Ovis aries: one gene and its partners. The protein of the gene in region 1 interacts with the protein of each later gene in a pairwise test. Links are inferred from orthologs where the notes say so. Each region holds a gene or a part of one and is shown in the gene's direction. Other genes may lie near its edges.

Region 1 (3,500 bases):
AAGATTTGATGGATACCAAAGGTCAGCTGGAGATTTCTACTCAGATATGCAAAAAAAACCGGGACAGGATCTTTAAACCAACACACAGCAGAGTACCTGAGTTCAAGAATACAGAGTTCAAGTAAATTTTCTTCATAGTTTATTTAAAATATGTATCTTTATTATGTAATGCTCATTTCTTTGAGAATAATTTCCAATTTATAGAAATTAAATCCTTATCAAAGGACCGTATGTTTAATTCTGAAGTACAGTATGTACAAGTAAAGCTGTTAGGTTAAAAAGTGCAGGGGGTTATATATTACTTTCAAGTAAACTTCTAGATGTAGGTGAGAATAACAGCCTAATTCCTGAGTTTTGTCATGCTGCTTCCCACCTTTCTAGCTTCACTTGTCCCATAAGAAGTGGAAGTTAGCTTTTTATAAAAAGCTTCTTTTGTATTTTTGGTGAACTAATAATAGATTGTTACCTAAAACATCAGCGTTCAATGCAGAACCACCCGACTTCAGCTCTTACATGTTTTCCTACCAGGAACCTTTGCTGACACCCTCTCTGCCACTCCCACCTCACCCCCAGATGAAGATAAGGGACTTCTCTCTGCACAGTACTTCCCTGTCTCCTACCACCAACCCCACTAGGGCACTTAGATAGCTTAAGTGTCTTCCTTGCTGTTGTGTAAGTCTGTGGGGACAGGGACGTGGTCATGGGGATTGGGTATTTGGGGCCAGGGTGATGAAGAGAATGCCTGGTCTGAACGGGCTTCTGAAATTTTGTAAATTATAGCCTTCTCCTTAGTCTGGTTCTGTATTTTTATTGAACTTCCAACAATAAGTCTGTTTCTTTAAAGGAGGAAAATTGCTACAATGTTTATCTGCTTTATTTTCTAATCTGCTATCCAGTTCAGCCCATGGCCAGCACAGGCATGATGGGATGAAGGCTGAGCCCTACAAAGCAGGTCTTCATTCTCCGCAAGGACAAGCGTCGGATAGCATAGAGCCTGTGTCCCTGTCCCGGGGCTTCAGCCCCCCAAGCCATCAGATCAGCTCTTGCTGCTCCACTGTCTCCCTGCCATCTAACTTTCTGTGCAAAACTAACTCTCTGCCTTCAGTGCTAGATACAAATGAAGCCAACTTTTCTGACACTATCTCTGAGAGTATAAATGACCCAGAAGACTTTACATCTTCGGTATGGAAACTTTCTGATCTTACTAGTTTATTAAGTGTGTTTAGTTTGATTTTTTTTTAATTTTAAGGCGGAGGATTTTTTTTTTTTTCCTTTTTGTCTCCTTACTGGTTCTTTCTCTTAAGTACCCTTTGTTATTCTCATGTATTTCTGTCCTAAGAATTTGCTTGTGAAGACTTCAGCCACAAGTACTTTTCAAAATGTGTCTTATTAAATATAAGTTATAGGGACTCATTTGTTTTTAGCCAAAATTGAGAATTCCCTTCCTGCCTTTTTTCAGAGAGGGTCACCTTTGTATTGGAAATGATTGGTTCAAAGAATATCTCTGCCTGCCAAGATAGTCCTGGGGCGTAGACACTGGTGAAGGAGAAAAGGAATGGCTGGAAAGGGAAAGAGTGGGTCGAGGCAGAGGAAGTAATGGCAGCTGATGTGTCTGTTATAGACCATAGACTGGGCCGCCCCACGGGGCCCTGGTGGCAGACGCTGCCCTGCGACAGGGCTGGCCCCTTGTTCCTGCAGATGTGAGGACCCCTCTCCACCCTTGTTTTTGCCTTCTGTGAAGCACTCATGTCTGGCCATTCATTCTCATCACCCTAATGGTCCTGTATCTGTGAAAGTTCAGTATTTTTGACTTTTTAATGTGCCAACAAGTCCATAGGAGTTCTCTTTTAGTTGTTGAAATAAATGTGCTATATATGTAATTCTGAAATCCAAAAAAGACCTGATGACTAACTTTCTTTTTAAGTTTGGCACTAAGACCTGACCTGGCCTGAACCGATATGATGTGATAAAATGTTGATTGATCCCACTGAACATTTTATGTCAGAAATACCAATGTGTTTGATGATGGGATGTTACCTCAGACTCATGCATAGGTCCTGTATTCTATATTTGTGAATTCATCTACTTGCTAAACTATTAGTTACCTGTAAACAGAACTCATAAGCACTTCCACAGTTATTCTTGAACATGGCAGAGCTGGACAAAATGTATCACTGGACTTGCACGTTTATAGCTAAGGTCAGCCAAGGTGGTACGTTACCCTCTTGTTTCAGCTCTTGTGCTGAGAGGCCCAGAAGATAGAGTCACTCAGGGACAGTACAGTGCACGAAGCTCAGATGCTGGGCTTGAACAGGGTTTGAACCCCAACTTTGGCACCCATTAATGGGGTGGCCTCAGGAAAGTCACTAAACACTGTGAACCTTGTTTTTTTGTGAAATAAAGCAAACAGAATCTACCTGGTGAGTTATTTTTAGGAGTTGGGATTATAATCTATGTGAAGTTTGTATGTATGTGTTTGTGTTTCCCATAAGAGCAGTGTTTCAATATTGATTAATTCAGTGTTTGAGATGACGTTATAGAAGATAACTACTACAGATAAGGATCAATGGAATATGGTGCATCTAAATTCTGAAGCCAGTGATCTCAGACAAGGGGCTGTAGACTCAAATTTTGGAGGAAGGAAAATATTGATTTTTAGCTGGTATCTAATTTATTACCGGTAGATTTTCTATGCTTTAAAAAGTAACATTCAGATTTTCATAAGTGAGTTTGAAATAAATAGGCATTAAGTATATCTCTTCTAGTGTATAGAAGGCTCTGAAAGTCTTTAAATGAGTAACTAATATATTTATATGACACTTCACACTTACATAACTGTGTCAGAAAGGAAGATATCTGTGTTAATTTTTGTGGAACTTTTAAAAAAAAAACTATTATTATCATTAGGATAAAGACAATATCTTGTCAGAGGAAAACATTCCCCTTTTGATATTGGTAGTTAGAAAATATCATGAATACTGTGTCTTAGAAATATACTGTTCAACTTACATATGTCAAAATTTGTTTCTCTTCTAGTGTCCCTTGCCTCTGTCTCCTCTTGGTTCAATAGCCACAAGATTTTTGGAAGAGGAAGAGCTGAGGTCTCATCACATTCTAGAGCGCCTAGATGCCCACATCGAAGAACTAAAGCGAGAAAGTGAAAAGACAGTGAAACAATTCACAGTCCTAAAGTAGCCTCTTAAAAATCACAAACTTGGAAATAAAAATAAACTCTGAAGAGTTACTGTCATCATGAAGTAGCAGCTCTTTGAAAACCTGAACATATGACTATATAGAAGCCATAAAAATGAGATGTACTAAAGCTGCCGTGAGGAATCTGAGAAGCTGATACTTAGCTCTAAGATGTTTTCTCTGCACTGTCTTGTTTAAAGGACTTTTTCCAGCAATAACATGTAAATAAACCACTTTGCTAGACTTTTTTCTCACATTAATATTTATTATCATAAAGTAGTACTTTCTCTTGCTGACTTAAATGTAAT
Region 2 (2,206 bases), on another chromosome or scaffold:
AGAAACAATTTGTTGAATTTACCATCAAGGAAGCTGCACGGTGGGTGTGAAGAGGAACTCTTCATTGTGTTTTTTTATTTATTTAATTATTTTTGGTGACGCTGGGTCTTCTTTCTGTGCTCAGGCTTTCTCTAGTTGCAGCGCACAGGCTTGTTATTTCAGAGGCTTCTCTTATTGCAGAGCACGGGCTCTAGGGTGTGCAGGCTTCAATAGTTGCAGCATCTGGGTTCAGTAGTTGCAGCTCCTGCGCTCTAGAGCACAGGCTCAGTAGTTTGGGTGTGTGGGCTTAGTTGCCCCGAGGCATGTGGAATCTTAATTCTTGGACCAGGAATCAAACCTGTGTCCCCTGCATTGCAGAGCAGATTCCATTAGACAACCGGGGAAGTCACTTGTGTGTTTTTGTGAGCAAAAGGACCCAATGTAAGACAGGCAGAGGGATTGATCCTGCCTTTCTTTTGTAAGCCCTGGCCTTCATGCATAGTTACAGCTATCTCCAGAGGCATTTAGATTGCTATTATCCAAGTCCAACTCATTCACCAAAGTCTATGGGAGCTTTCTGGACTCTTCACAGTCTGAGGTGGGCTTGGGCTCTCAGTTGGTACTCTTGGTATTAGCTAAGCCCCATCTTTACATGAAGATACATTCTCTATTTCCCATGTAAATCGTCGGTTCCACCTGGTACCCCACACAGTGCTTTAAGGACTTTTTGGTTAATAAAATTCCTCTTTCTTTTTTAGGTTCAAAAGACGAGTCTTAATTCAGTACCTTGAGAAGGTACTAGAAAAAATAGAATCCTATCACCTTCTCAACAATGTTAATCACATCAACAGCAGATCATGATGTTACGGCAGAGACCAAGAAGGAAAAAAGAACAAGTTCTCTGTGTTGTAGGACAGAGCGGGATATTGTTGAACATCTTAGGATGTTTTAATCAAGGGAACTGGCTTCCAGAGGTTAAGAAAAAACAATGACACCTTTCATTTTCTGATTCTCTGGCAGTAAAAGCTGGCTTTGCCCTACGTTTTCTTTGAAAGTACTAACTGGTTGTTTTATTGTTACTTTTCCCAATTGAGGAAGGTGACATGATTAATCCAGCAGATTAAGTTCAGTGAACACACACAAGTGATAAGGGTTCACTCTTGAGTTTGGTCATCCTGGGCATGTCCAGAGTGACTAGGGGCCACCTGCAGGTAGAGCACTACTTGATGCTCTTACTATGGCATTTAGAAAGAAGAGGGGTTCAGAGTCCAACTGCTAATTGTGTGTGTTCTGAACGAAGTTTTCAACAATTCCTAGTTGTGCCTTTAAAACCATGCAATATTCAGGACAGTTTGGATCAAAGAGTGAGAAAGCTGCTATTTGGGTAACTTATTTCTCCATGGGAGGGGGCAGGGAGAGTCACCAAATGATCTACCTCCAGCTGTCTTCTATTTTGTCTAGAGACATTACAAAGTACACCTGAGGCCACCTCCACCCCTGACATTTGTTCTTGCATGTGATGCCAGAAAGGCTTCAGGTGGACTTGTGCATTCTGTGCTTCAGAAGCACTAAAAGAAAAAGTAATGTAGATATTTCCTTTAATGTTTATACAAAAGTTTTTATGGAGCAGTATTGTTATGTTTGTATTTGCAGAAATTTAAGTGTACAAAGAGATTTTGACTTTTCATATATAAAATAAATCATTTTATTGATTTTTCACAAGGTCATTGACGCTTGAGAAATTTCTAGTTTTATCTTTCTTGTGATTTGTAACTCCTTTCAGAAAAAATGCCCACTGTAATTAAGATGTTAGCAGAATGATGTAAACTTCAAAATGTCACTCACTGAACTGGTGAAACTGGTGGAGTGGGGTACTCCAGAAACACTGAAAATGCTGGGGAAAATGATTGGAATCAAGTTTACTGGGACTCTGGAAAATAGAGGTTTACAGCAACCAAGTGAATGTTGAGTCAGAAGAAGACCCAGTGAAATGTGATAGGAAAATCTGGTAGCATTTTAACTTATTCTTGCCTCATTCTCCTCCCCAGTATAACAGTGGTCTTGAAGATGTCAGCCTGCATTCCAACTGAGGGTTCCTGGCTCAAGAGGGAGGAGAATAGACCTTATTCCCAAGGAATTGTGTTTGTTTAAACCTGTCCAGAGGCCTCCCTGAAGGACTGATCAATGGGATCGATTGCTTTTCTTTTGTCTAACTATTAAAAGACGC
Region 3 (2,248 bases), on another chromosome or scaffold:
CTGTCCCACATGGCCTTGTCTTCATACTTTGAAGTCAGTAGTGTGGCCAGTTGGGTATCCAGTGAGGACCATGCCTTCGGCACCCACCTGACCTCCATCTCAGCTTTGGGGCGGGAGGCGCATGTGCGTCAGGTGGAGGACGTGCCCTTATTGTCTGCTTTGCTGCAGATTATAAGCTCCTCCCTCAAGACTCAGGCTGTTGGACTGCCCCCACCCAAATGCCTGATAAATGTCCCTTGAACGTGTGAATTCGTGAGCAGGGACAGGTAGAGTTTTGCGTAGACTAACTTTGAAATAGAACGCAGGGGCCTGTACGTTGCTCCCTGTTTCTCCTTTGGAATTCATCACTGAATGGTTGGAGAAGACTCTGGTTCTCTTTGTGTAGGTAGTTTGTATTTGGAAAAGTTTTTCCTCTACCTAAGTCAAGTAATGGCTATAACAAGCACCAGTTTCAATATATTTATTAGCATTGCTGCCATTAGATCTCACAGGATTTAGTCTGTTAGAAAAACAAGGTAAATTTTTGATTCTCTTATATTCGGGTGTTTTCCATAGAACATGAGTTCTATGGATCACTGTCGGTCATCCAGCAAAGCTAACTCTGATTGTCTGCACTTCCTGTTGCCAGAGCACTTCCTGGCCTCCGCCAGCTGTCACCAGGAGGCCGTGGAGCAGGCCATCATGGCCCTGCAGATGGACCGCGACAGTGACGTCAAGTACTTCGCCAGCACCCACCCGGCCAGCACCAGGATCTCTGAAGACGCCCTGAGCACAGCCTCCTCCACCTACTAGTTGGCGTGGTCCCGGGGGCCTCCCGCGCCCGGGGAGCCGAGGTCCCGCTGGCGCCCACGCGTGGCCAGGACAGCCTTGGGGCCCGTCCTCCCGCGACACTCGGCTGCAGGTGCAAGTTGCCTACACCGATTCCAGGGATTCTCAGAGTCAAGAGAAAGTGCAGTCAACGCCGTTGTCTCGTCTTGACTTGAAGGGAAAACACTTTTCTCAGAGGATTATAATTGTCACCGAAGCCTTAAATCCTTCCGTCTTCCTGACTGAACGAAACTTGAATCGCCCAGCGTTCTCCTCGGAAGGGATGCGACGCCGAGGCCTCTTTGCTTCCCGCTGGTTGATCTCACCACCGCGAGACGGAAGTGCAGCCAGAAGGCGGAGACCGCCATCCGGGCTGGGCCGAGACCGCCAGCACCAGGCCTCGCCGTGTCCACGCGGGCAGGGCCCTGCGGGGGCTGCGGCCGCCGCCCCGTCCAGCCCAAAGTATGACTAGTTTAGCCGTGCATAAACGGGGAGGAGATATTTTTTGGATTTCTCCTGAGGGCTCAATGCTAACACTACGTGGAGCTGATTGTGACTCTTAAATGCAGCATATTGCTGTGCACACTCACAGAGTCTGCCGAGCATCCGTGTCCTGGTTTCTTCATGCTGGTCATGACCCGGAGGAAATTTATTAGCACGTATTCTGTATGTCAGGTGTTTTTAACTTGATCATGATCGGCTCTGAGGTGCAACTTGTCTCACATACTGTATACCACCGTGCCCCCGGGGAGGGCCGCAGTCTGTAATCATGCTCTTGGACTGTTGTGCACAAGTTCTCTTGTCCAAATAAAATTTATTACTAAGATCTATACAGAGATGGACACACTTCTGACTGCTTTCTAGAATAAATGCAATTTGTGACCTGTATTAATGATTTTAGTATAAAATGGGAAAACTGGATTAAAATATTTGTCTTTTAACTAGTTTGGTAACTTCTTTGAAACTTGTGCACACCCTGGGCCGGTAGCAGGGCCTCCCCACTGAGGGCGAGTATGCACCCCGGTTCCCACCCCCGACACCGCCTGGGGGAGGGTCTTCACTCCCAGGAAAGGCCTCTGAGCCCAGGTCTGTGCGTGCGAGGGGATGGTGAAGCCTGCCCGCCCCACGTCTGGCAAGTGAGATGCCACATGGACAAGCTTCGTGAAGGCTGTGAGAGATGCTTGCTCGTGGTTTCCGTTCTGTCTTCTCAGCTGGTGGGGACTCCCCAGACGTGTCATGAGCCCACTGTGACCTCAGACCTCGGGGATCCACAGGCTGCTTCCTGCACTTGTCATTACAGATGAGCCTCTGGTTCCTCCTCTTTCATTATAACTGGATGTTTGTGCTCTGGGAACGTGTGTGGGCAGATTCACGGAGACGAACAAAAAAGTAAACACACAGGTAATGTGTGACGCAGGTAATAAGGGCAGAGCCACAGAGT
Region 4 (3,181 bases), on another chromosome or scaffold:
GACTGGGGGCCAGGAGGTTTCCCAGAACCAGTTGTGTAGACCATTTGACCTTGGGATACTTTATGAGACTGTGCTGAATTTGGGTGTAGATTTAAATATAGTTAAGGAAGTTTTGGCAGGCCAATCAGTTGAGATGGTACTTTATTTGTAGTCTGGAGTATTGGGAGGGAACCAACTTTCGTTCTGCTTTTTAAAGAAATTTAAGTTAGAGCAAAATACTAAGAATAATGTAACAAATATGCTACTATCTGCATTCAACGTATGTAATAATTTTGCCTTATTTACTTCTATCACGTTGGCCAAAAAGTTTGTTCGAACGAACTTTTCGGCCAATCCAAGAGTCTTTTCTCTTTCTTTCCAAGGCAAAAAATGTTGAAAGATATAGCTTAGATCTTTAATCACCACCCCAAGCCCCATTACCCTTTTCCTCACTCTGGAGAGTATTCATGATCATGTTTTTGGTTTATATCTTTTTATTCCATCTTGTACCCAGGGCACCTCATGATGAAAAGCAAGATATATTTTCTTTTCATATGTCTGTTAATTGTTAACAGATGGCAGTACTTTCGAAATAGACTATTGGTATGATGACCGTCCACTACCTTATCTTTATAAAAGTAAAGTTGACAGAAACTTTGCCAAGGAAAGAATGGGGGAAATACTCTATTCGAATAATAAGTAAACTTAATATGCAGTGAGTATCCTGAGGCTTTTACACCTGGAGGTTGATTCCTGTACTTTTGGAGGCTATGCTCCCATTAGAGAAGGTGATCCACTAACTGAAGGATGCCCACTTTCTGGAGGAGCATTTCTTTGTTTGAAATTAGAAGGAACACTTAACATGTTCTTGACCTAGAATTGTACTTTGAAGTTTATCAATTTCATTAAATTAGTATCTCAGCTTCTTTTTAAAAGTTTTCAATAATTGTAATAACTCCTTAATCTGTGTTTACCAAATAAATTAGGACTTTTAATGAAATCTTTGAGGTTAATTGCATTATAATTAAACTTTCAAAAATGGATTTAGTCTTAAAATGATTCTACTTGGTTTATTTTTAGTAAAAGAAGTAAAAACATTTCTGGTATGCTTTAATAATATTGTTTACATGAGTCTTTGATCTTTCTAAAAAGATATTAAGTACATTAACCAGAGGAAATTAAGACTTTAAGTTTTAGGACATTGATTAGGAAGAAATGATCAAATGTTGTACACATTTGGGGTATAAATTTTGAGTGGTTGATTCAGTTTTTGTCACAATTAGAGATATTCTGATTTATTATATAATTTGTTGTTTAGAATGTAGAGCTACCTCTGGGTGTTTTTGATTCCATGCAGTGTATAACTGCATTTTTATTCCTATGATGTAGCTTTTTCCCCCACCCCAAGAAACTGAAGGTGATTTAAAAATGAAAAACTGAAGGTTCAGAAAAATATTGAAAATACCTCTAACCCTTACACCTTACCCATATAGTATTGATTAGGCTCAGAACTAACTGTAGTCACCTAAAGAGACATGTTTGGAATTCATCATAATTCATTTATTGTTTGTGGGTAAAGGTAAGACTTTCATTCCCCACACCTCATTTCTTAACTAGAAAAAGAATGGACTATTCCATCTAGGCAAGTTCTGCTTTGCATAGAAGTCATTCAGAATTGAGCATCGTTATCTATGAAGGAAATATTTTAGAATTGATAGAGTTTACTATGTGTTCTGTTTTCTATAGGTAATGTGGACTGAACTACCATGTAAAAATTTTCATCTTCTTCTCTGTTGTGCTATTCTGGAGTCAGAAAAACAACAAATAATGGAAAAACATTATGGCTTTAATGAAATACTTAAGGTAGTTATTCTTCTAATTTAGATTTTAATATTTTGACTCTTTCCTCTTTTTGTTGGAAAACAAACATTTCCTTGGAGTGTTATTGAATCTCTTGAGTGACTTAAAATTTTATCAGTGGTAGTCAATACTAGGCCCAGTTTTCTGAGAAGGACAGTTCAGCAGGTTGAACATGTTGGCCAATTATTTTTTTCCTTGCTAATTAGAAAGAGAAACATGCGACAAATGCTCTTTTATGTTGTTTACTTTTCTAAACAAAGTAATACTTTTGCTTATAACTTTGAGATAGTAGACTTGGGACAGCTGCTGGATTTATGTTCCATAAGCTTATTATTAATAGCTGTTCCTTAGCTTTACAACTTTGAAATGCTCTAATGAGGGATATATTAAATTTCCCATTTACTTGTAGTCTGAGGGTATTTTGTTTTGAGGATTTTGTCTACAGTGTAATATAACTAGTATGACACCACCCTTATGGAAGAAAGCTAAGAACTAAAGAGCCTCTTGATGAAAGTAAAAGAGGAGAGTGAAAAAGTTGGCTAAAATTCAGCATTCAGAAAATTAAGATCATGGCATCTGGTCCTATCACTTCATAGCAAATAGATGGGGAAACAGTGGCTGACTTTGTTTTTGGGGGCTCGAAAATCACTGCAAATGGTGACTGCAGCCATGAAATTAAAAGACGCTTGCTCCTTGGAAGAAAAGTTATGACCAACCTAGACAGCTTATTAAAAAGCAGAGACATTACTTTGCTAACAAAGGTCCATCTAGTCAAAGCTATGGTTTTTCCAGTGGTCATGTATGGATGTGAGAGTTGGACTATAAAGAAAGCTGAGCACCGAAAAATTGATGCTTTTGAACTGTGTGGTATTGGAGAAGACTCTTGAGAGTCCCTTGGACAGCAAGGAGATCCAACCAGTACATTCTAAAAGAGATCAGTCCTGAATATTCATTGGAAGGATTGATGTTGAAGTTGAAACTCCAATACTTTGGCCACCTGATTTGAAGTACTGACTCGTTAGAAAAGACCCTGATGCTGGGAAGGATTGAAGGCGGGAGGAGAAGGGGACGACAGAGGATGAGATGGTTGGATGGCATCACCGACTCAATGGAAATGAGTTTGAGTAAACTCCAGGAGGAGTTGGTGATAGACAGGGAGGCCTGGCATGCTGTAGTCCATGGGGTCACAAAGAGTCGGACATGACTGAGCGACTGAACTGAACTGACTGAATATAACTAGTAATAAATTGTGTAATAGAGTATAATAGTGTTTCAGTTTCAATTATTTTATTGATTTATTCTAGCATATCAATGAATTGTCCATGAAAATTGATGTGGAAGA
Region 5 (2,935 bases), on another chromosome or scaffold:
GTGATGTTGAGCATCTCTTCAGCCATCTGTATGTCTTCTTTGGAAAAATATCTATCTAGATGTTCACCCAGATGGTGAAGTGGTGGTCCAGTGGTTAAGAATCCACTTTCCAGTGAGGAAAGTGTGGGTTCAATCCCTAGTCAGGGAACCCAAGATTAAGAAAAATAAGCGGGGGGGATCTGCACCCATTTTTTGATTAGGTTGGTTTTTAAAAATATTGAGCTACATGAGCTGTTTGTATATCTTGGAGATTAAATTCCTTATTGGTTGCATCTTTTATAAATACTTTCTCCTATACTATGGGTTGTCTTCTTGTTTTATGGTTTCCTTTGCCATGCAAAAGCCTTTAATTCGGTCCCACCGTTTGTTTTTGTTTTCAGTATTTTAGGAGGTGGATCAAAAAAGAGCTTGTTGCAATTTATGTCAAAGATTCTTCTGCCTCTGTTTTTCTCTAAGGGCTTTTTATAATAACCAGCCTTACATTTAGGTCTTTATCCATTTTGAATGTGCCTTTGTGTGTGGCGTTAGTGCTCTGTTTCATTCTTTTATATACAGTTGTCTAGTTTCCTCAGCACCACTTATTGAAGAGACTGTTAAAACAGATTTATTCCTGAAGATGTGAAGCTCAGTATCTTTCGGAAAGGCAGAGGTTTTACTTGTTAAAATGATAAATTTCTAACAGTTTTTGTGTCTAAGCCTTTTATCTTTCTTGAAAAATGCATCTTAAGGCTGTAAGTTGTTGCTGTTTCCTAAGCTGCGTCCCTTAAATTGCCTTTCAATGCTGTGTCCTCGGTCTTTATTCCCCTGGGTCGGGTTACTTTAGTAACATCTAGTCACCAGCACGATCTATAGGGAGGGAGCCATGTGGTCCAAATGATAGAGCTTTGACCAGCTGCTCTGGAGAGAAGAGGCCACGCGCCGGGCCTGGGGCCCTGGGTACAGAAGACGTCACCCTGGCTTGTCTTTTCAGAGCAAGATCTGGAGCGGCAGGTGCTGCAGGCGCAGTGCAGGCGGCTGGAGGCGCAGCATTACAGTCTCAGCCTCACGGCCGAGCAGCTCTCCCACAGCATGGCGGTGAGTCTCAGGGATCGTACTGGCTCCGTGGGGGCTTTCTTGACCCCACAGTGGTTATTCTCATTCAGCCTTTCGAGTCTGGGTTCAGGAGCACCCATACAGACAAGTTTTGAAGGGAAGTTGTGCTCTTGAGAGGGGCTAAATTCAGCAGTCACCTGAGGAGGGAGTGTCATCTGTTCGCAGAACATGGGTCTGGAAGGGTCGGGGGCGGGTGTACTGCCCGTATCAGCCTTCCCCCGTGCCGCGCTCAGGAGGATGGAGGGAGGGGGCCGAGCTCTTGGGACAGGACGGACCCCACACACACACACAGCCGTGACAGCGAGAGCCCTGCCATCTTCCGCTGTTGTGTGTTTGGGGCTTGGACACCTTGGCCACTCCCGACGCAGCAGAAGCTTGGCAGTGCCAGGGCCGACGCTGCGAGAGTGGCAGGTGCTGCCACTGGGAGATGCTGGGGGCAGCTAGAGCGCATCCCACAGCCTTCCTAACTGTGTGAACTGCGGGTCTGACACCAGTCTCCCTCCAGGAGCTGAGGAGCCAGAAGCAGAAGATCGTTTCAGAACGGGAGCGGCTCCAGGCGGAACTGGACCACTTACGGAAGTGCCTTGCGTTGCCTGCAATGCATTGGCCTAGAGGCTACTTCAAGGGTTTCCCGAGGTGACGGTTTCCCTTGCACTAGGCCGAACCTATAGTATAGAAATATTATCTATTTTATTACCTTGAATATTTAATATTTTTCACTGGGAGGTTTGACGCTTAAAAAAAAAAAAAAAAAAAAGAGAGAATGTGCCATGCATGAAGCAAAGGATTCCAGGCTCCAGAAAAAAAGAACGAACTCGCCTTGACTTCAGTGCAGTTGGATCACCTTTGTAACTCAGCAAGCAACCCGTTTAAGACGCCCATAGTTTCTTCCCTTTTAAAGGCGGTTTTTCCCTTCCCCACGTCGTCATGCTTTAGTCTCAAGATGAAGGCTCCATTACCAACACTAAGCTGTGCCCATCTCCCAGCCCCTGGGTGCATGAGGCGGAGCGGGCCACCGGTGTGCGTGTCGTGTGCTGCCAGGCCCTGTGGCCTCAGGAACCCGGGCTGCTCTGGCCGTGGGGTGGCCGGTCTCGCTCCTCCCCAGGATGGAGACCCGCTCCAGCAGAAGGAAGGTGGGGTGCATTCTAAGTAAAGGGCTTATTTGTTTCAGTTATTTTTCTGCAAAGTTTTCCTGAAAGCAACAGGTCCTAGGAGCACACAAAGCAACAGTACTGAAGCCTCACCCAAAGGCTTTTCCCCAGAAAAGCTCTTACCTAAAGTGAATCGACAGACTGAAGGTACCTTGTTATTCCTTCGTGGGGGAAAATGTCCAGAGCTCTATGTACATTTATCCACACCCACCCGATTGTTACTGCAGGGGGGGCGGGGGTGTTTTCATACAAATGTCAATTTTGAGAGAAAAGTCAAAGGTGCTTCAGCCTTGTACTGTGTATATATATTAAAAAACAAAGTTTTGTATGTTTTTATTACTTTAATTATTGTTATAAAAAGCCTGCCATTTTTAATATGTGGTTTGGGGGGATTTTTTGTTGTTTGTTTTCTTGTTTGGGGGTTTTTTGTTTTGTTTTTCTGGGCAAAAAAAAAAAAAAACAACCCTTGCTTTTAGTGTTTGTACTGCTGCTGGTCAGGACATTATTGAAGTGTTTTTAAAAATTAAAGAAGAAGAAAAGTAAAAAGAGCTTACCACTGGCGCCTACGCGAGCACTTCATTCTTGAGTTGCACCGGAGTGAGGTAGAAAGCCATGGTTCCTCCTTCCCTCTCCCCCGGGCCCTCCCCGGCTCCCCAGGCCAGCGAGGCGCTGCTGGTCTCCAGCAGGAACCA
Region 6 (3,500 bases), on another chromosome or scaffold:
CTGACGTTCAAGCTGGTTTTAGAAAAGGCAGAGGAACCAGAGATCAAATTGCCAACATCCGCTGGATCATCTAAAAAGCAAGAGAGTTCCAGAAAAACATCTATTTGTGCTTTATTGAGTATGCCAAAGCCTTTGACTGTGTGGATCACAATAAACTGTGGAAAATTCTGAAAGAGATGGGAATACCAGACCACCTGATCTGCCTCTTGAGAAATCTGTATGCAGGTCAGGAAGCAGCAGTTAGAACTGGACATGGAACAACAGACTGGTTCCAAATAGGAAAAGGAATACGTCAAGGCTGTATATTGTCACCCTGCTTATTTAACTTCTATGCAGAGTACATCATGAGAAATGCTGGACTGGAAGAAGCACAAGCTGGAATCAAGATTGCTGGGAGAAATATCAATAACCTCAGATATGCAGATGATACCACCCTTATGGCAGAAAGTGAAGAGGCACTAAAAAGCCTCTTGATGCAAGTGAAAGAGGAGAGTGAAAAAGTTGGCTTAAAGCTCAACATTCAGAGAACGAAGATCATGGCATCCGGTCCCATACTTCATGGGAAATCGATGGAGAAACAGTGGAAACAGTGTCAGACTTTATTTTTTTGGGCTCCAAAATCACAGCAGGTAGTGATTGCAGCCATGAAATTAAAAGACGCCTATTCCTTTGAAGGAGGGTTGTGACTAACCTAGATAGCATATTGAAAACAGAGACATTACTTTGCCAACAAAGGTCCGTTTAGTCAAGCCTATGGTTTTTCCATTAGTCATGTATGGATGTAAGAGTTGGACTGTGAAGAAAGCTGAGCACCGAAGAATTGATGCTTTTGAACTGTGGTGTTAGAGAAGACTCTTGAGAGTCCCTTGGACTGCAAGGAGATCCAACCAGTCCATTCTAAAGGAGATCAGTCCTGGGTGTTCTTTTGAAGGACTGATGCTAAAGCTGAAACTCCAGTACTTTGGCCACCTCATGCGAAGAGTTGACTCATTGGAAAAGACTTTGGTGCTGCGAGGGATTAGGGGCAGGAGGAGAAGGGGACAACAGAGGATGAGATAGCTGAATGGCATCACCAACTTGATGGGATGTGAGTTTGAGTGAACTCTGGGAGTTGGTGATGGACAGGGAGGCCTGGCATGCTGTAGCTCATGGGGTCTCCGAGTCGGACACAACTGAGCAACTGAATTGAACTTAACTGAACTGAAGGTTAAACTCACATCTAAAATAATAAATACCTTATATTTATTATCAAATCAATTATATTCATCCAGTAAGTGTGTTTTAAGTATTTCCTGGAGAAAAAGCAAACAAACAACAGTGAGGTAACATTTCACACACATCTGATTGGCAAAATGTAAAAATGTAAATTCATACAGCTACCTTGATGAGTAAATTTAATAGTCTGTAATAATGATGTACATATCTCATGACCTAAGGATTTCAGTTTTAGATTTTATGATCCAGTGATTCCAGTTCTAGAGACACTCTTGCACATGTGTTTTGGGGGTCCCAGGTTTGATGATTTTCTAGGACACATAGGACTCAGCATTCAGTTGTGCTCATAGCTAAGATTTAATATAGCAAAAGGATGCAAAACAAATACAGCAAAGGAAAATCACGTGGGGTGAGAAGACAGGGTGAAAGCTTCCAGGGATCCTCTCCCAGTAGGGTTACACAGAACGTGTTATAATTTCCCAGCAACTTGTTGTGACAGTATGTGTGATATGTTGACTACTGGGGAAGCTTATTTGAGACTCAGTGCCTAAACCTTATATTGAAGGCTGGTCGTGTAGGCTCCTCTGCCTACCACATGCCAAAATTCCAGCCTCCCAAAAGGAAAGCAAGTATTCAGTATAACCTGTATTCTTTGCACAGTTTAGGCCCAAAGAGAGACTGTTTATCAGTTAGGGTAGTGAAATACAAGTTTCCAAGGCCAACTTTGTAAGCAGACCTTTTATTTGATAGCAATACAAACAGATTTGTACAAAGTAATTTGTACAGCATTATTTATAATGGGGAAAAATTAGAAAACATGAAATGTTTATTAACAAAAAATGAATATTTAAATTTAGCTACATTCATACAGTGAATTCTCAGTGCGGTTACAGTGAATGAGCTTTGTAGTCAATAAAATATCTCAGAGACTTAATGTTAAGAGAAAAACTAAGTTTTAAGAGTATTTGTATTATAGCCTGGTAGGTAGCATTTTATGTAAGTTTTTAACAGCAAAAATCATTTTTATAGGCATGTATAAAAATGTCCAAAATATATTTGTTTTCCTAATATATTTAGCATGTATTTAGAATTTTATGTAAGAGGTTCTCATTTGTTGTTTTTATGGAAAATATATTCTTAAATTCTTATTAATTATCACCTATAGTTTTTTCTTCCAGCTGTTCCTGTAAAAAGCTTAATTTCTCCTGATAGGCAATGGATAGTCATTTGTATTTTTGACATAAAAAGAGGGTAGAAAGAGTTATGAATTAGTTCCAAGTGTTTTATTGATTTTTTTAAAGATTCACATGGCAAAATAAAACAAGCTTGAACAATTACTTACTTTTTTTTCTAATTTGTTTTAGGTCTCCTCTTACCTGGGTCTCATTACTTGGGCCGTTTTCAGGATCGTTTAATATGGATAATGATTCTAGAATGTGGCTATACTTATTGCTGTGTTAACATTAAGGTCATTATGCATTTGAAATCTCTCTTTTACAAGTTAAAATTTTTGTTACACACACATCAGAGACTTAATAGCTCACTTTGAAAGACAGTGTCTTTTAATTACTTGTGAAACACCTAGGATTTTTAAAGTATATTTCAGTTTGTACATATTGATAGACTAGTGTTGACTATATGATAGAGCATAATAACAAAGTACACTTGCCCCTTTTTTTATCCAGTCTTACTCTTTTTATCCTTATCTGATTGAGCATCTCGAAAAGGTGACTGAGTAATATTTTCTTCACTCCTGTATCATATAAGCATTCTCAACTTAATAAAAACCTTCTTTTGACCCCACTTCCCTTGCCTGCTAACACTCTGTTTTTCTCCTTTCAGAGCAAAATGCTTTATTAGAATTGCTTATCATCATATCTCCAATTTTCATTTCTCCCATTTTCTCTTCAATTACCCTAGTTTTTAACCCTTTCAATTATGCTACTGAAAAACCACTAATATCAGGGTCTCCAATGACTGACGATTGCTTAATCCAGTGATCAATTCTTACACCTGGTCTTATTTGACCTGTCAGAAGCACTTGACACAGTGAAGCATTTGTCAAGTGAAGTGATCTCTTCACTTGTTTCACAGATTAATCCTTAACAGTCTCCTCTGATGGTTCCTTCCCTCTTCCTTGACTTCTTAATATCAGACTGGCCCAGTTCTTGCTGACAATTCCATCCTTCTGGTAGCTCAGCTCAAAAGCATTTGGGCTTTAGTCTAGTGATATATGATTCCTTGTTTACTTCTATACCCCACATCCAATCCAGTAAGAAATCTTA
Region 7 (4,051 bases), on another chromosome or scaffold:
GAGCTCATAGGTGACCGTCTTCCCTGCCCCGCACGTGAGCTCTCAATTTGGAATCTCAGTTTATGTGGGTGAGGGGGTTACTTTGCCCTATAGTTACACCCTACTAAAAAAAAAAATCGGAATAACCTTAACTTCACTGCCAGATAAATCAAAAAGGGCGACTGTATCCTAAGTGGAATAGCACTAACTCCTCTGGGTGGAGACAGGCTCACCCCATGATCTTTTTTTTTTTTTTTAATACTTGAAAAATGCTGGCATCTTAATACTTTGTAGAGAAGTTAGCACGAGGGACATGAACAATCATCCTTGATAAATGATTTTTAACGCTGACACGTGCTTGGCACTGCAACACTGGAAAGGGTTTGAACAAGGCGCTCTGAATGAGGAATCTGAAATAATCGTGACTTCTCTCTTTCCCAGGGTTTCTAAGGCGATGGGCACTGTGGGATCGACTAGCCAAAGTCCAGTGGGACCCGAGTCGGGCCAAGCGGCCGAGGGGCGGCAGCAGACAAAAGTAGCCGGCAGGGCGCTCCGCTCGGCTCGGGGGACGGCGCATCGGCCACGCCGGAGGGCGGGAGGCTCGCAGCTCCTCGCCCGAGACCAGCCGGGCTGGAGCTGGGGCCGTAGAGGGCGTCTGGCCGGCAGACCGGGCGCCGCGAGCCCTCGTGTCCGGCTCTTCCCGCCCGCCGGCCGGCCGGCCAGGGCCTCCGCTGCGCGCGCGGGGAAAAAGAGCGCGGCAGTTGAAACCGTTACCACCCCGAGTTTTGAACTGGTTCAAACTTGGCTTTCGGCCCCGCCCCGCCCCTCCGGCCCGGGAACACCGAAGCGGCGGTTCCCGCCAAGCGCCGCGAGCGCGCCGTCCCGCCCTCCGGCCGGTTCCCGCCACCCCGCCCAGCCCGCCTTCCCGCCCGCGGTTTGGGGATTCGGGCTCCGGAGGCCCTTCTTCCCCGAACGCCGGCCCCACCGCCTTCCTGAGAGGCGCCGGGCGTTCGGAGAAAAGAACAAAGAGCCGGCGCGGCGCTTCCACTCAGGCGGCAGCGTCCCTCAGCGCCTGCCCGCCCGCGCGCACGCGCCGCCGGCCCGGCCCGGCAGAGTCCCGCGGGCGCCTCTGCGTGGGGCTGGCTCGGCGCCTCAGAGGCCGGCGGGCCCTGTGATTGGACGGGAGCCCGCCTCGCGTCCCGCCAATCGGGGCGGCGCTTGGTTGGACAGGGGGGGCCAAATAAAAGCGATGGCGATTGGGCTGCCTGGTTTGGCGCTCGGTCCGGGAGCGTCCGACACCCACTGGGACGCAGAAGGCGGTGGAGCCCCGGCGGCGGCGGCAGCGGTGGCGCGCGGGAGCGGCGCGCGGGAGCGGCGCGGGCTGGGGCGCGGGGCGCAGGTAACGCGCCGCTGTCGGGCCGGCAGGCCGGCCGGCCGGCGGGGCTCCGGAGCTCGGCGTGGGGCGGCGGCGGCGGGACATCTCCGCTGCCGCTCAGCCGGTCCGGGTAATCCTCCCCCCACCCCCACAAGCGGGCTTTCCCGGGGAGCCTCTGGGGCTCGTGGGGGTGAGAAGAGACCTCCCCTCACCCCCCTCGGAAAGGGCTGTGGGCCCGGGCCGATCCGCGCGACCCCCGCGGGCGGGCTGTGTGGGAGCCAGAGAAACCCGAGGCGGGAGCCCGGGCGGGCGCCGAGCGGAGGGTTTGCGGGGGGGGGGGGGTCCCCTCGCGCGCCCGTTCCTCCCGAGGCGCCGGGGCCGGGCTGGGGGCGCTCGGGTGCCCGGGGCGGGCCGGCCGCCCGAGCCCCCGGTCTCCTTTGTGTGGAGCGGCACGGCGGCGGGAGCGCCCGGGTGGGACGGGACCCACACAAGTTGATGGGACCTCAGCGCCGAGTGCGCACTCAGAGACAAAGGACGGACTGTGTCTCGGGGGAGCTCGGCGCGAGTCAGGGGCAGTGACACCGGGGCCTGACAGCGGGCGGAGAGGGGGCGTGGGGAGCGGGCGGGCGGGCTCGGCCCCACGCCCCCTCCCCGCGAGCGCGCAGGCTCGGCCCGGGGCCGCGGGGGCCGGGACGGCGCGCGGAGACCGGACTCGGGCGTCCGCGCTTGCTGACATTTCCGCCGAAAGCTGCCCCGGAGCCCTGAGGCCCCGAGCCCCGCTCGGACCAGGCGGTCCCCGGCCGCCTCTGTCGTCTCGGCGGGGCTCTCCGTTAAGTTTGAGGGGCGGGTCGCGCTGTTCTACCCCCCACCCCCGCCCCCATCTCCGCGGTTTTGTTCGTTACGGAGGGCTTTCCGTCGAGTTCACGCGTCCTTGTGGGCCCCCCACCCCCATCTCCGCCTCCCCAAAAGTCGGTGCCTCAGGGTCACTTTGTGAAGAACGGGAGGGATCGAGAAGCGTGGTATTTTGGAAAACTTAGTGAACTCAACGCCTGGTGAATCCCCAGTTTCTGAAGAATCATCATCTTCCAAAAAAAAAAAAAAAAAAAGAAACCTGTCCAGGCTGTTTTGGCCAACTCGTGTGAGACTGGCGACAGGTGCTAACGAAATCAGCTGTCATTTAGTGAGGAGAGATTGTTCCCCGAATCCCTAGGGGATGAACGGGGAAGAGATGGTACAAAGAGTTGGTCCAAAGAAAACGCTTATGCTAAATGTGTGTTTGGATGGTATGGTTAGCAATTTCTCATTAATTGGACTTGTTTTCCGTGAACAATAGCTTTGTTGAGTCAGAAAAGACTGGCTGCAGAAATGTTCGTTGCCTAAGAAATCGAACGTGTGCTGTCCGCAGTTAAGCTACTTTGTCGCACGGGATCTGTAAAATTTTAATTCATTTGGAAATAAAGATGTCTTTGGTATTTAAAAATGCTTTAAATGCTGCACGGTTTGCTAGCTGGGTTTGAAAGGTCGTTATCAGCTTAGTTTTGTGGCGTTTCAATGTCACATAAAACAACATTTAAAACAACAGTTTAAAAAAGCTTTTAAAAAACACTAATGCTAACACAGGTGAATGTAGTCTGTACTTCTAGGGGGGTTTGAGATCGAGCGGGTGGGATCCTAACCCTTAGATCACTAGGGAGCTAGGGGGGTTGGTTGTGGAGTTTATTTTCTATTACTCCTTATGACCATTAGCAAATATTTTATGTTTGGAGATAAAATGTAGAGCAAGTGTGTAATCCTAACTATTGATCATTTTATTTGCAAGAAAACGAAAGTATTCAAGATACATTTTAATTTCCTTTTCCTATTCCCTAAAGTTAGGAATAGATGGGGTTCTAGTCTTAGATATAGAGAATCCTATTCTCTTTTTGGAGGTGTGTGAGAGAATGTAATGTTTAAAGTCTTGGAAACACTTAGGAAAATGGCATCTTAAATATTAATTTTTGTGGAAAGTGAACGTATTCAAAGGAACGAAATTTAGAAACACTTAGACACTCTTCTTATTTGCATTGTTTTATCTGTTGATCTAATGTGCAGCCTTCTATTTTACGGTTTCAAAAAAGTGGAGACAAAGAAATGTAGTGTAAAAGTCTTACACATTTTGCAGTGTTCAACATCACTGAACTGACATTCCAGGTGCTGTTCCTAAGTATTGTCTACATTTATATTAGTTGTTGGTAATTATAAAAAGTCCTACTGATAATCTTGCCCATTGTTAGGAGGTGAGCTAGTTATGCAGATTTTGGCAGAAATTTGAATCTTTTAGAATACAAAATTCAGTTTTCCCCATCTTGTGTACATTATATTTGATAATTACTATCTTTGTACTTGCCACAAGATTTTGTTTGAAAAGGTTTTTGGGGGAATTGGTTTTAAATTTTTTGTGTTTGAATTGAGAGTGTATTTAGTTTAAGTAGCAGTGATAAAAAACTATGCTTGTTGATTTAGTATAGTTAGGCAAAGAAAAAGAGCACAAATTCGTTTATACCAGCTTTGCCTTGCATGCATACGTAAAAGTGATTATCTTTGTGTTGACCACTAGAAATGTGTAGGTAGATTTCCCCAGGTCGCATGGAGATTTTCCAGGATATCCCCCATCCTTTGAGCTGGCATGCTCCAGGAGTCTGAGTTAGTTTCTGACTT

The links.
Region 2: the proteins of CEP63 (region 1) and INTS6L interact in a two-hybrid assay, tested with the Homo sapiens proteins (2 studies listed by BioGRID and IntAct). The link is inferred for Ovis aries from reciprocal best matches to the Homo sapiens genes CEP63 and INTS6L.
Region 3: the proteins of CEP63 (region 1) and PPP4R1 interact in a two-hybrid assay, tested with the Homo sapiens proteins (2 studies listed by BioGRID and IntAct). The link is inferred for Ovis aries from reciprocal best matches to the Homo sapiens genes CEP63 and PPP4R1.
Region 4: the proteins of CEP63 (region 1) and TBC1D15 interact in binary tests that used the Homo sapiens proteins (3 or more experiments, as listed by UniProt). The two-hybrid records come from large-scale screens. The link is inferred for Ovis aries from reciprocal best matches to the Homo sapiens genes CEP63 and TBC1D15.
Region 5: the proteins of CEP63 (region 1) and GSE1 interact in a two-hybrid assay, tested with the Homo sapiens proteins (2 studies listed by BioGRID and IntAct). The link is inferred for Ovis aries from reciprocal best matches to the Homo sapiens genes CEP63 and GSE1.
Region 6: the proteins of CEP63 (region 1) and PCNX4 interact in a two-hybrid assay, tested with the Homo sapiens proteins (2 studies listed by BioGRID and IntAct). The link is inferred for Ovis aries from reciprocal best matches to the Homo sapiens genes CEP63 and PCNX4.
Region 7: the proteins of CEP63 (region 1) and EZH2 interact in binary tests that used the Homo sapiens proteins (3 or more experiments, as listed by UniProt). The two-hybrid records come from large-scale screens. The link is inferred for Ovis aries from reciprocal best matches to the Homo sapiens genes CEP63 and EZH2.

Annotation. Positions count from the first base shown.
Region 1 is NC_056054.1:255,417,167-255,420,666, reverse strand, and holds part of CEP63 (centrosomal protein of 63 kDa), read left to right. Parts: coding exon 1-121; intron 122-896; coding exon 897-1,182; intron 1,183-3,036; coding exon 3,037-3,195; 3' UTR 3,196-3,500. UniProt on the Homo sapiens protein: Required for normal spindle assembly.
Region 2 is NC_056080.1:99,350,249-99,352,454, reverse strand, and holds the end of INTS6L (integrator complex subunit 6-like), read left to right. Parts: coding exon 1-40; intron 41-737; coding exon 738-840; 3' UTR 841-1,706; downstream 1,707-2,206.
Region 3 is NC_056076.1:42,175,729-42,177,976, reverse strand, and holds the end of PPP4R1 (serine/threonine-protein phosphatase 4 regulatory subunit 1), read left to right. Parts: intron 1-628; coding exon 629-792; 3' UTR 793-1,748; downstream 1,749-2,248. UniProt on the Homo sapiens protein: Regulatory subunit of serine/threonine-protein phosphatase 4. May play a role in regulation of cell division in renal glomeruli. The PPP4C-PPP4R1 PP4 complex may play a role in dephosphorylation and regulation of HDAC3.
Region 4 is NC_056056.1:107,983,474-107,986,654, forward strand, and holds part of TBC1D15 (TBC1 domain family member 15), read left to right. Parts: intron 1-1,725; coding exon 1,726-1,842; intron 1,843-3,143; coding exon 3,144-3,181. UniProt on the Homo sapiens protein: Acts as a GTPase activating protein for RAB7A. Does not act on RAB4, RAB5 or RAB6.
Region 5 is NC_056067.1:11,187,734-11,190,668, forward strand, and holds part of GSE1 (genetic suppressor element 1), read left to right. Parts: intron 1-970; coding exon 971-1,074; intron 1,075-1,597; coding exon 1,598-1,732; 3' UTR 1,733-2,935.
Region 6 is NC_056060.1:70,384,149-70,387,648, forward strand, and holds part of PCNX4 (pecanex-like protein 4), read left to right. Parts: intron 1-2,579; coding exon 2,580-2,683; intron 2,684-3,500.
Region 7 is NC_056057.1:113,214,573-113,218,623, reverse strand, and holds the start of EZH2 (histone-lysine N-methyltransferase EZH2), read left to right. Parts: upstream 1-1,251; 5' UTR 1,252-1,378; intron 1,379-1,468; exon of another isoform or gene 1,469-1,484; intron 1,485-4,051. UniProt on the Homo sapiens protein: Polycomb group (PcG) protein. Catalytic subunit of the PRC2/EED-EZH2 complex, which methylates 'Lys-9' (H3K9me) and 'Lys-27' (H3K27me) of histone H3, leading to transcriptional repression of the affected target gene.